Linked DNA regions of Canis lupus familiaris. The protein of the gene in region 3 interacts with the protein of the main gene of each other region in a biochemical or structural test. Links are inferred from orthologs where the notes say so. Each region holds a gene or a part of one and is shown on either strand. Other genes may lie near its edges.

Evidence for each region. The genes of interacting proteins can lie anywhere in the genome.
Region 1: of the proteins of UBE2S (region 3) and UBA1, one has a biochemical effect on the other in vitro, tested with the Homo sapiens proteins (8 studies listed by BioGRID, with this or other methods). The link is inferred for Canis lupus familiaris from reciprocal best matches to the Homo sapiens genes UBE2S and UBA1.
Region 2: the proteins of UBE2S (region 3) and ANAPC2 form a complex in vitro, tested with the Homo sapiens proteins (3 studies listed by BioGRID and IntAct). The link is inferred for Canis lupus familiaris from reciprocal best matches to the Homo sapiens genes UBE2S and ANAPC2.

What each region holds. Positions count from the first base shown.
Region 1 is NC_049260.1:41,006,985-41,010,311, forward strand, and holds the end of UBA1 (ubiquitin-like modifier-activating enzyme 1), read left to right. Parts: intron 1-267; coding exon 268-356; intron 357-642; coding exon 643-735; intron 736-864; coding exon 865-1,056; intron 1,057-1,984; coding exon 1,985-2,086; intron 2,087-2,196; coding exon 2,197-2,297; intron 2,298-2,421; coding exon 2,422-2,557; 3' UTR 2,558-2,760; downstream 2,761-3,327. UniProt on the Homo sapiens protein: Catalyzes the first step in ubiquitin conjugation to mark cellular proteins for degradation through the ubiquitin-proteasome system.
Region 2 is NC_049230.1:48,466,595-48,470,238, reverse strand, and holds part of ANAPC2 (anaphase-promoting complex subunit 2), read right to left. Parts: intron 3,026-3,644; coding exon 2,851-3,025; intron 2,431-2,850; coding exon 2,311-2,430; intron 1,917-2,310; coding exon 1,799-1,916; intron 749-1,798; coding exon 567-748; intron 253-566; coding exon 111-252; intron 1-110. UniProt on the Homo sapiens protein: Together with the RING-H2 protein ANAPC11, constitutes the catalytic component of the anaphase promoting complex/cyclosome (APC/C), a cell cycle-regulated E3 ubiquitin ligase that controls progression through mitosis and the G1 phase of the cell cycle.
Region 3 is NC_049222.1:103,047,722-103,051,855, reverse strand, and holds the start of UBE2S (ubiquitin-conjugating enzyme E2 S), read right to left. Parts: upstream 2,944-4,134; 5' UTR 2,773-2,943; coding exon 2,770-2,772; intron 2,226-2,769; coding exon 2,078-2,225; intron 1,024-2,077; coding exon 833-1,023; intron 1-832. UniProt on the Homo sapiens protein: Accepts ubiquitin from the E1 complex and catalyzes its covalent attachment to other proteins. Catalyzes 'Lys-11'-linked polyubiquitination.

The DNA.
Region 1 (3,327 bases), on a different chromosome or scaffold from region 3:
TTCATCCTGATGTCTTCCTTAGTGTCTCTGGAGAGCTCTCTTTTGATATACCCAACCCCCTTTCTGTCTCCTTCAGGTTTGTGCTCTCTTGTCCTGCTCTGCCTCTCCCTCTGGACCTCCTTTCTCTCCCAGGATAGGTTCCTTTTCAAGTCTTCTCTACGTGAACATGTTTTGCCCTTCCTGATCCCCCTGCCCCAGGGCCCCCGTTTCCACCTCAGACACTGGCCTGGATCTAAAGGGGCTGATGGTGTCCCTTTCTTCCTGCAGATGACAGCCGTCTAGAGGAGCTCAAGGCCACACTGCCCAGTCCAGAAAAGCTCCCTGGATTCAAGATGTATCCCATCGACTTTGAGAAGGTGCTGGGTGGGAGCCGTGGGCAGGCAGGGGGATGGGCTAGACAGAACTGACCTTTGGGAATCTGATGGCAGCCCCAGGCCCTTATGGGAATTGGATCTTGGGCCTGCTATATGGCCCTGAATGTATAGATGTTCCCAGCCATGCCTTTGTGATCTGAGAGCCTGGCAGGTAATTGCAGTGGAGGATACTTGTCTGCAGAGGCCAGGAATCCTCTTCCTCCTCTGACACTGATCCTCTCTCATCCTCTCCCCACCCTTCCCCTTCTCCCTCCCTCATTCATAAAAGGATGATGACAGCAATTTCCATATGGATTTCATTGTGGCTGCTTCCAACCTCCGGGCAGAGAACTATGACATTCCCCCTGCGGACCGGCATAAGGTGAGGGGAGTCTGGACCTGATTCCCCCCCTCACCCCTGGCTTGAGTTCTCTACATTCCATTCATTCAATGTAGGCTCTGAGCCGCTTCCACCTTAACTACCGTGTTTCTTGATCTTCCTGCCTCACAGAGCAAGCTGATTGCAGGGAAGATCATCCCAGCCATTGCCACAACCACAGCAGCTGTGGTTGGCCTGGTGTGTTTGGAGTTGTATAAAGTGGTGCATGGGCACCGACAGCTTGACTCTTACAAGAATGGTTTCCTCAACTTGGCCCTGCCCTTCTTTGGCTTCTCTGAACCCCTTGCTGCACCCCGTCACCAGGTAAGGGCCTGTATCAGGGCAGGTAGGTTTGTGAGCAGGGGGTTTCTTCTGTGGAGCTGGCTTTAGTTTGCTTGCATAGCCTATCACCAGGTGAGGGTTTCTGTCAGCATGCACCTACTCCTTTTGTGCACACCTTATTCATTTATTTCCTTGCCCTGTTTTGCGCTAAGCACTGATGTGAATCTGCCTGTAGAAGCCCTCAAAAAAGATGGAATATTTTAATTGTACCCTAAGAGGTTATTAATAACATAATAATAGCAATCAACATTTACTGGGTGCTTATGGCAAGTACCTTTACTCACTTTATTCATTAACTTCAAATGTTTGCTGAGCACCTGTGTGCCAGATACTCTTGTAGGTAGTAGGATTGTATTTGTGCAACAGATTTTATAACATGATAAATGATTTTAGAACCTCCCAAGAAACAGCAGGGCAAGGAGGACTTGAGACTACCAGGTGGCAGGGGGATGGGATGGGGCCTTCAATTGTGGGATGGTCAGGAAAGGCCCTGCTGAAAAGATGACCTATAAGCCCAGACTTGGGCTCCCTCCCTCCAGAGGGAGACAGACCATGCAGGCTCCTGGGAGGAGAACATTCCCAGGCCAAAGGGACCATTCTCTTCACGGGTCCCAAGGTAGGAGGATGCTTGGTGTGTTTGAGGAAGAGTAAGTTGGTAGAGCGGGGGCGGGATGAGGGGTAGGAGGTTAGGCCAGAACAGGCTCCCAGTGCCTAGGCTTGTCAGTCATTGGTCACCGAAAGGTTTCGGTTGCTAGCTCAAGTTGTGAGAGAAGCCACGTTTTTGATGGAAGAGGCTTGCAGTCTGAGCACATTAGCCTGAGTGGGGGTGGGCAGCAGGGGTGAGGACAAGACTGACGGGGCTAGGCCCTGTGCTGGCCCCTATCCCATCAGCCCACTTCTTGCCCCACAGTACTATAACCAGGAGTGGACGTTGTGGGATCGCTTTGAGGTCCAGGGTCTGCAGCCTAACGGTGAGGAGATGACACTCAAACAGTTCCTTGACTACTTTAAGGTGAGGCCCCTTTCTCACTCTCACCCCCACCCACAGGCAGAGTGTGCTGGTGAGATTCACTAGGCTGCCCACCCCCCGTGACACTGCTGTCCCCCTTCCCCCTCCTCCAGACAGAGCATAAATTGGAGATCACCATGCTGTCCCAGGGTGTGTCCATGCTCTACTCCTTCTTCATGCCAGCCGCCAAGCTCAAGGAACGGTTGGATCAGCCGTGAGTTGGGGGGCTTCTGCTCACATCTGTTCCAGCCCAGTTGGCTGCCCTTTGCCTCTTTCCCTGCCACCCAGCCCTCCCTCACTTTTTGCCTCCCTGACCCTCTGTTCCCCCCACCCCTCAGGATGACAGAGATCGTAAGCCGTGTGTCGAAGCGAAAGCTGGGCCGCCATGTGCGGGCGCTGGTGCTTGAGCTGTGCTGCAACGACGAGAGCGGCGAAGACGTCGAGGTTCCCTATGTACGATACACCATCCGCTGACCCCTGTCCACGCCCATAGGCTGGCCCCAGCCCTGGCTCCTACCCCACCCCACCCCCCAGCCCAGGGCTCCCATCAAGCCTCTGGCAGTGGTCCAGCTAGCCACGCCTGGTGTCCCCTCCTCATCTCCCTCCCTGCACCCCTCTTGCCGCTGCTTTCTACCTTATTTGGAACCTGAATCCTAATAAAGAATTATTAACCCAGACGTGGCATTCCCTGCTGGTTCCAGGGAAGGAAGAGACTTCCCAGAGCTGTCCAGTTCAGGTGGTAGCCCAGAGGGCTCAACCCCACCCCAGCAGCCAGTTGCCTGGGCAAAGAAAATGGGAATTGCCGCTTCTTCCTCCCACCCTCCGTGTTTGGGAAGAATTGGATGGAGGCATAGGGTGGAGGTAGCTGGGTCCATGTGACTGTATTGGAGCTGGGTTCAAATTCCATCTTGTCCAGCTCTAGCTCCCAACTCCCCACCACCATGTTGATTTTGAGAGGTAGTGAAGAGTCATGTTTGAGCAAGCCCCGCAGCTTCTCTAACCTTGTCTTTCGTGAAGAAGAACGTTACTGCAACCCGTCGACCAGGGCTTGGTTAGCATGGCTTATGTCCTTGGGGGGCAGATCCCTTCCCATGTGGCTTAAAGCACTGAGACTCCAGACAAGTCTTAAAATCATGGTTCCCAGGACCAAGTGCCCAAGGTCAACTTCCCAGCTACAGGGGGCTCTAAACAACTGTTGGACTGAGGAAGATCATGACTGTTCAGACTTTAAAGTTTTTATGAAA
Region 2 (3,644 bases), on a different chromosome or scaffold from region 3:
CACTGCCCCTGGCCTCCCCAAACCCCTGGCTGAGCTCAGGCCGGTCCTTGCTTGGCATCCCTGATGCCCCTCCCTCAGAAGCAGGGCAGGCAGCAGCTTGCAGGCCTCACCGCTCAGGACTGAAGCTGAACTGGTGCAGGAGGCGGTCAGCCAGCAGTGAGCGGTACTCGTTGATAAAGAGATCCTTGCTGCCGTAGATGCTGACCAGGAGACTGATGATGTCCGAGGAGCGCCGCTTGGAGCTGGACTTCCCTGCACAGCAGAGAGGGAGTGCCATCTGTGCTCAAGCAGGGCCCACCCTGCCCAGCCTGTGAGGCCCAGGCTCAGATCCCAGCTTGGGGGCAGGGTGGGCAGTGTATAGGCTGCCTGGGAACCCGCTCTTCCAGCAACCGGGCTGGGGACAGGCCACTGTGGGCCCACTCAAGCTGGCTGAAGCATTCGGGGGAACAGGTAGGGTAGGATGAGGCCAGATGACCCCCCGCAAACCTCAGGGCATGGTGAAAACCAACTAGAGGCCTGAACCCTCCCCCACAGTCCAGGGCCTGGCAGGGCTGGTGGGCACTGACCTGGATCGGCATCCACGGGGTCAGGGACCCAGTCCTCAGGCTCGCCAGAGTCATCCTCGCTGTCCTGACCAGTCTCCAGGCTCGCCGGATCGGTCTTGGACAGCTCAACAGCCAAGTCCCCTGTCCCGTCCGAGTCCCCTGTCAGCCCAGCCACAATCTGCCGCACAGTATCCTCCCGTGTCCTGCCAAATATGAGCATTGCTGGCCCTCACGGCACCTCTCCCTGCTCTCCATACTAGCCCACACCACCCTATCTCCTCGCCCAGCAGCCAGTGCCTATTGGCCACGTGCTTAAGCTGAGTTTACCAAATTTTGTCTCAAAGGATAATAACGATAGTGAAAATAACTAAAAACCCACCATCTTCCAGGAGCACCAAGAATTGAAATAAGACACAACCAGGGTGCGTGGGGGGCTCAGGAGGTGAAGCACCTGCCTTCAGCTCAGATCATGATCCCGAGGTCCTGGGATCAAGTCCTGCATCAGGCTCCCTGCTCAGCAGGGAGTCGGTTTCTCCCTCTGCCCTCCCCTGCTGCTGTGCGCGCGTTCTCTCTCACTCAAAGTAAATAAAATCCTTTTTTCTTAAGATTTTATTTACTAACGAGAGACAGAGACACAGGGAGAGGCACAAGCAGGCTCGATATGGGACTTGATCCCAGGACCCTGGGGTCACACCCTGTGCTAAAGACAGACCCTCAACCACTGAGCCGTACAGATGCTCCCATAGAAATAAAATCTTAAAAAAAAAGGAAAAGTAAGAAAACCAGGCCCTTCACAACCAAGAGATGGTAAACGTGAGTCAGGGCAGCTCCGGATGCCTCCCAGCCCCAGCCCTGAGCCTCCACTGCCCCAGGCGTTTCTGGGCAGCTGTACCACAGTACCTATTCAACACAATCTTTGACAGACCACCCAACAGCCTCTGCTCCTCGTCAGCCTGGGGGCCTGTCCAGCAAGGCAAAGCTGAGCGGGGGCCTCTCTGTGCTGGGAGAAGGGGAGGAGGATGGAGAGCAGGGATGCAAGGGGGGCCCCCCCAGTGTCTGCACACAGGTGGTGGCACTGGGCAATAGGTACAGGAGGGAGCCCTGGCCAGGCCATGTGGCCCTACAGGAAGGACAGAGTGTCCCTGGTGTTTCAAAGGCACAGGGACCCAGGAGGAGCATGGCTGCACAAATGGGTCCAGGAGACAAATGCTCCAGGTTGGAGCAGCTCCCTGGGGCTCACCTGCGGTACTCACCTCAGGTAGCGGCGAATGGGCTCACAAGCCACCTCCAGGATAACCATGGAAGGGTCCAGCACACGCAGGGCCTTGATGGCAGATATGTAGAGGGTGATGATGTCACATGTGTTGACACCTGCGGCCAGGATGGAGGACGGCAGTCACCACAGTACCCAGGACTTGTGGTTCCACGAGCAAGCAGCTGCGCCCTGGCTGGGCAGGCTTCAGGTTGTCTGTGTGACCTCCCTCCTCAGGACACCAGTGTGACATGCAGGAAGTAGCCTCCTCCCCGCCAACTCTCAGGTGCTCTCCCCAGAATTTTCCGAGATCCAAGCCCCCCCTCACTGGGTGGTCTGTTCTGAAGAGATCACATACCCCACCTGCCCTGAGGTCACACCCATCATTTCCTGTGACTCCCTCCAAGGGAAGATAAAGTGGAGTGCCCTGACCCTCCTAAGGGCTGCGTAAACCTGCTCCCTACACAGGCCCTGGGCTGGGGAGGCTGGACTCTCAGCCAGCAGCTTCAGCACCTGGATGGAGGAGCCGTGTCTCCAGGGCAGCCTTAAGGGACAGGAGCAGCTGCTGCCTCTGATCGGTCCTCTCCAGGCAGTACTTAAGGTCCTCAATGGCTGGCCGGGAGTCTGGGAAGTCTGTAGGAAGAGTACCAGCCTTTGTACATGCATGCAAATACCCAAACACACAGATGCCAGCACCCACATGCTGTGCACACAAGACACAAGGTCAGCGGAGCCCAGAGGGTAAGCAGCTGCACCTCCACTCTGGAACACCGAGAGACATCTGTTAGGTGCTTCAGGTCATCCTTGTGCCTATGCGTGCCCATCGTCCACCCCCACCCCCAACCCCGTGGTGCAGAAGGACAGAGCAGACATGAGGCTGAGAGGATGAGAGTGGACATTTCTGATGTCCCACCACACCACCCTGACCCAGACACTGAGCTGAGGTAGCCCATGCTGGTGGACGCCACAGTCCCCAGTGCCCCTCACTGCCTGCAAGATCTGAAGGGCAAAGGCCCAGGAAAGGTGGGCTACTGCAGTGGGCAGGGGGCCAACCTCGGATGATGCTGAAGAGCTCCTCGATGCGTAGGCTGGCATAGATACGGTAGAAGAACCTTTGCACGTGGCAGCGCCAGCGACGGAGTGTGTTGCCAGCCTCAGGGGATGCAGGCCTGGCTGGGCCATCCTGCAGGAATACCTTGCCCAGCCAGCCGACCACCCTCTCGATCCACTGTTGGAAGGTATGGGGAGGTAAGGAGCTGAGCCCCAGTCTGACGTGGACCAGAGGCCAGGAGAAGCTACACAGCGGCCCACCCTGCAGCCAGCCCTGGGGAGCCCCCAAGCCGCCTGCTCTGGAGTAGGATAGTAAGCCCAAAGGAGGCCTCCCAGGCCTCCCCTCAATGTGCCCCCACACCCTAAGACCTCAGTGCCCAGGCTTATCTCTGGCAATGGTGGGCCTGATGCAGGGCACGGAGAGAGTGCTCACCTCTGACTCGGTAGACAGACTCCCGGGGGCCACGCATCTGACTGGCCCCATCGTGTGCAGACAACGTGAGGACCATTCTGAACGCATGTACATTTATAGGCAACATGGCCACGTGGACCCCAGGATGAGTACATTCCCCCATAAACTATATAGCCACAGATAAACGTCTGGGTGCTCTGTTACATGGGAGCAACACAGGTACCCCAGCCAGGCCTCTGGGCTCACACCCACGTGAGACCACTGCCACAGAAGTACTTGCTTTGAATCCCCATCACAGCTAGGCTGCATTCTCAGGCAGAAGAAAACAGGCAAGAAATAAGAGCAGGCTGGACAGTCCCTTGTGGTTGGGCCTATCACCTCCACA
Region 3 (4,134 bases):
CCCCAAGTGCCCTGAAGGAAACTCAGTTTCCCCATCCCCCACCATCTGCCACTGGGGCTCATCAGCAATTCCATTAAAAACAAAATTACTTTTTTTTTTTTTTTTTTTTAAGTAAGCTCTCCACCTAACATGGGGTTTGAACTCCCGATCCCAGGCCCCAAGATCAAGAGTTGCATACTCTTCCGACTGAGCCTGTCAGGTGCCCCTAAAAAACATCTCTTCAGCTTTAGTGGGGTGGGGAGTGGCCTTTGGGGATCATGGGTGTCTCCATCTTGGCTTGGCTGATACTGCTCTGTTGGGGCTGTGGAGCAGCACCCCTGGTTGGCCCCTGCTAGATACAATTACAAACCTCTCCTAACAATGCAAAACGTCCCTGGTGGTACAAATCACTGCTGTTTGAGAAACAGAAGTTTATGAAAATATTCTAGAACTATAGCAGTGACGGTTGCACAAGTTTTGTGATTACTATATACCCAACAACTGTATACTTAGAATGTTGAATTTTATATCATAAGTTATAGATTAGGAAAAAGCCCAACACCCCTAACCAAATGCTTGACTTGTACTATCAGAAAGTATCCTATTATACAAACCCATTGCTTGTTCTACAGCAAAGGTACCCCAGGTACTGCACCACCTATACAACCATACTTAGTGTCCTGGGTAAAGCACTGCCAATCCTCCCAGAACTTTCCAGCTGGAAATCTGGATTTTTTATATGGAAACTCCCAACTACTTCAGAGTTAGTTTTACTACAAGAAACAATGCACCATGGCTCTGACATCACTGGGACATCCAGGAGGGAGGAGGCCTGGGCCATCTCAGAACTCACCAGCAGGACATGCCGGATGCCCAGCTCAGCTGTCCAGTCCCTCTTGAGCACGTTGACGCAGATCTCACCGTTGGCGCCCACATTGGGGTGGAAAATCTTGGTCAGGAAGTAGCCCTTGGGTGGGGAGGCAGGAAAGTCCTTCCCCAGCAGGAGTTTCATGCGGAACAGGCCTCCGGCATAAGGGGTCCCCTCTGGAGGGAGGGAGAGGGGATTCAGTCAGGAGGCTCAGGACTCTCTGTGAGGCCAGTGCCTTGATACCTCCTCCACCAGAAGCGAGGTTCCCAGGGGCCCCATAGCCACCCCTGGATGCCTCTTCTCTCCCAAGTGTCCTGGTCATGTACCCTTCCCAAGATTCCCACTCACTTGCCTTCCATCTCCTTGGGAGGCCTGTAGGCAAGTGATGGGACTGTTCTGTCACTTCGGGTCTTCCCGCCTGCCCACCTCAGTGAATGGTTCTGGACCCATGTTGTTCCTCACGCCCTGGTCCCCCCACAATACCCTGCACCGTGGTAGCCTGGGCAGCTGACCTCCTGGTCTCCTCCTGAACCTGTCCTCCCCTCCTCTCAACTGAACACTGCAGTCATCACCTGTGCTTTAAATCCGCCAATGGCTTCCTTTCTGAACTCCTTCCAGACTCCTGCAAGCCCTAAACGTTCATCGGTCTCTTCTTCCTGTTCCTACCAAGTATCCAGGGCACCTGCCTCAGGCCCTCCCCTATCTGGGAGCAATGACGCCCTCACCACATCCCGCTCCTGACCAGGTTCTCCATCACAAGGTCCTCCACCACATGCTCATGCCGCCTCTCAGCTTACTTTGTGACAACAGCTCACTACATCCCTGCACGGTTCCACAGTCACGTGCGATCACTTGGTTATTACTGTTCCCTCCTGTGACACTGCATCTGGCTTGCTTCCCTCCCCTGTCTTGGGGGCCCACCCTCCAGGTCCCAGAGAACCCCTATCTGACAAACCCCAGTAAGGTGCCCATTAAATGCTCTCACTCCCTGCAGGAAAAATATACGCAATGCTCTGTTATTTGTGTGTCTCTGTGCAGCCCACCACTGTATCTCCAGCACCTGGCAGAGCCAACTTATAACAGGGGGTTCCTATTCTTGTTCTAGTTCTGGTTTTTAGGTTCCACGTATAAGCGAAATCATACGCTATTTGTCTGCCTTTCTGACCTACTCTTGTACTGATGGGGAGATATCTATAAGCACACCCATCCTCCTTCCAGTCCCACACTCACCAGGGCCCTCGATGGTGACCTGCAGGTCAGTGAGGTCTTCCTCGTTGGGAAAGACCTTGATGCCATCAGGCGGGTCAGCAGTCAGCGTTGTCACCTCCTTATACACCAAGCGAATGATGTGGGGGGGCAGGTTCTCCACATTGGAGTTCTGGACATAGAGAAAAAGGAGTGAGCAACCGGCAGAGCCAGGGCCTCCCGCAGATAGGATGCTAGGGCCATCCTGGTGTTGACCCGGCAGCCCCAGACACCCCACCCAGTACGCTTCTAGGGTCGTCCCAGGCTGGCCTCTCGCCAAAAATGGGGGCGGTCTTTCAAGGGGCTTGCGGGTGGGTCCGGTATCCCCCCTCCAAAAAAGATCCCGGCTGTGCCCGAGGCCTACCCCGGCCCCCTCCCCTACCTAACCTTGAAGAAACCTTCAGTCAGGGCTGGAGACGAATACCTTGCTCCCGGAACCCCCACGGCCCAGCCACAAAGCCCGAGAGCCCTCTCCGGGGCTCAGCCCGGCCTTCCCCTCGGGGAACCTGCGAGACGCCCAGCCTCCACTCCTGCCCGCCTCCAGGAAGGCCTGTGACCCATCTCAGGCCCGGGACACCCCCCAATACACACGGTCCGCGAGAGGCTCCTGAGACCCCGCCTCCTCCTCCAGCGGGGGCCCCCCGACCGCCTAACCCGGGCCTGGCCTCCGCGCTCACCATGACTGTGGCTGGCCGGGGGCGGGTCCCCCCGGCCCCTTTCCTGCTCTCTCCGGGCCGCCGGCTGGGGCGGGGGGCCCAACTGCTGCCGCTGTGGCCCTGGAGAGGCCCCGGCGGCCCCGCTCCGCTCCCGGCTGTTTCCGACGGCCGCCGCGCAGCGCGCCTAGAACTCCGCCTGCCCCAAGTACCCGGCCGCACTGAGCCGGCCGCGCGCGCAACGCCGCCCTTTTATAGCCGCCTGTAGGCCACACCCCCCCACGGTCCCGGAGTGCCGCGCCTTGACCCGTGATGTCACCGCGCACGGCCCTAGGCGTTCGAGGCTCTCGCTCCCTTCCCGTAAGCTGCAAGAAGACTCAGGAGAAGTTGGGGAGGGGGGCACGCGGCGGGCCGGCCAATGGGGACGCGCGGGGGTCGTAATGGGGTCCCTGGAGAATGGGGGCAATGCGGCGGGATGATGGAGGAGCAGAAGACGCGAGGGGGAACGCGCCCGCTGATTGGATCGTTTGAATGAGACACCTCCCTGGCCCGGCGTGCGCGCGCGTGCACTGACGCCCAGGAAATCGCGCACGCGGCTAACGGTCGGCCGCGGAGCCGGGGCGGGGCGAGGATGGGCGGGACTAGGGGGGGTTAAACGGATGATGGAAGGCTCCCTGGCCAATAGGGACGCGCAATCGTGGAATGGCGTCACGAGGCTCGTACGCGGCAGACCCTGGCGGAGAAGGCGGAGCCAGGGGACGGGGAGGGGTGGAGGATAGCCAATGGGGCTCTTCCCAGTGAAGGCCAAGCCGCTCGCAGCCAGTGAAATCCGTCAGTTTTGTATATGCAAATGAGGTACGCGCGGACCCCGGCCGGCTCCTCTGCCAGCTACAGTTTTCTGCGCGGCGCCATTTTGTGCGGGTAGTGCCGGGTGACCCGCGTGGTGCGTTCCGTGGCGCGAAAGAGCCGGCTGCGCTGCCGCGAGGGCTGAACCGCTGGTGGCCCGGCAATCGTGCCGGGCGTCAGTCAGGACGTCGGGTTTCTGTTAACCCCCACGTGGGAGACGGCCGCTGGGGCCCTTCGTGACGTGCAGGAGGGAGGTCGAGGCACGGCCCTGACAGTGAGGGGCGCTGGGCCTCTGCCCTGCACGCCTGCCCTGGGGATGCAGTGTCCCCGACGGGCCTCGGTGTCCACTCTGCAGGCCTGTGCTGACCCTGATGGGAATGGGAAGACCCCTGGCACCACCAGTACTCTCATGTGTGGGGCCCAGTCTCCGGGAACAGGACCCCCACAGTTGTGGAGGATTGGCCAGGCACTGAACGTCAGTCTCAGTATGCTGGGTACAGGGGACTCCCCCTGAGGAGTTCACAAGGACACAGAAGGAAGGGG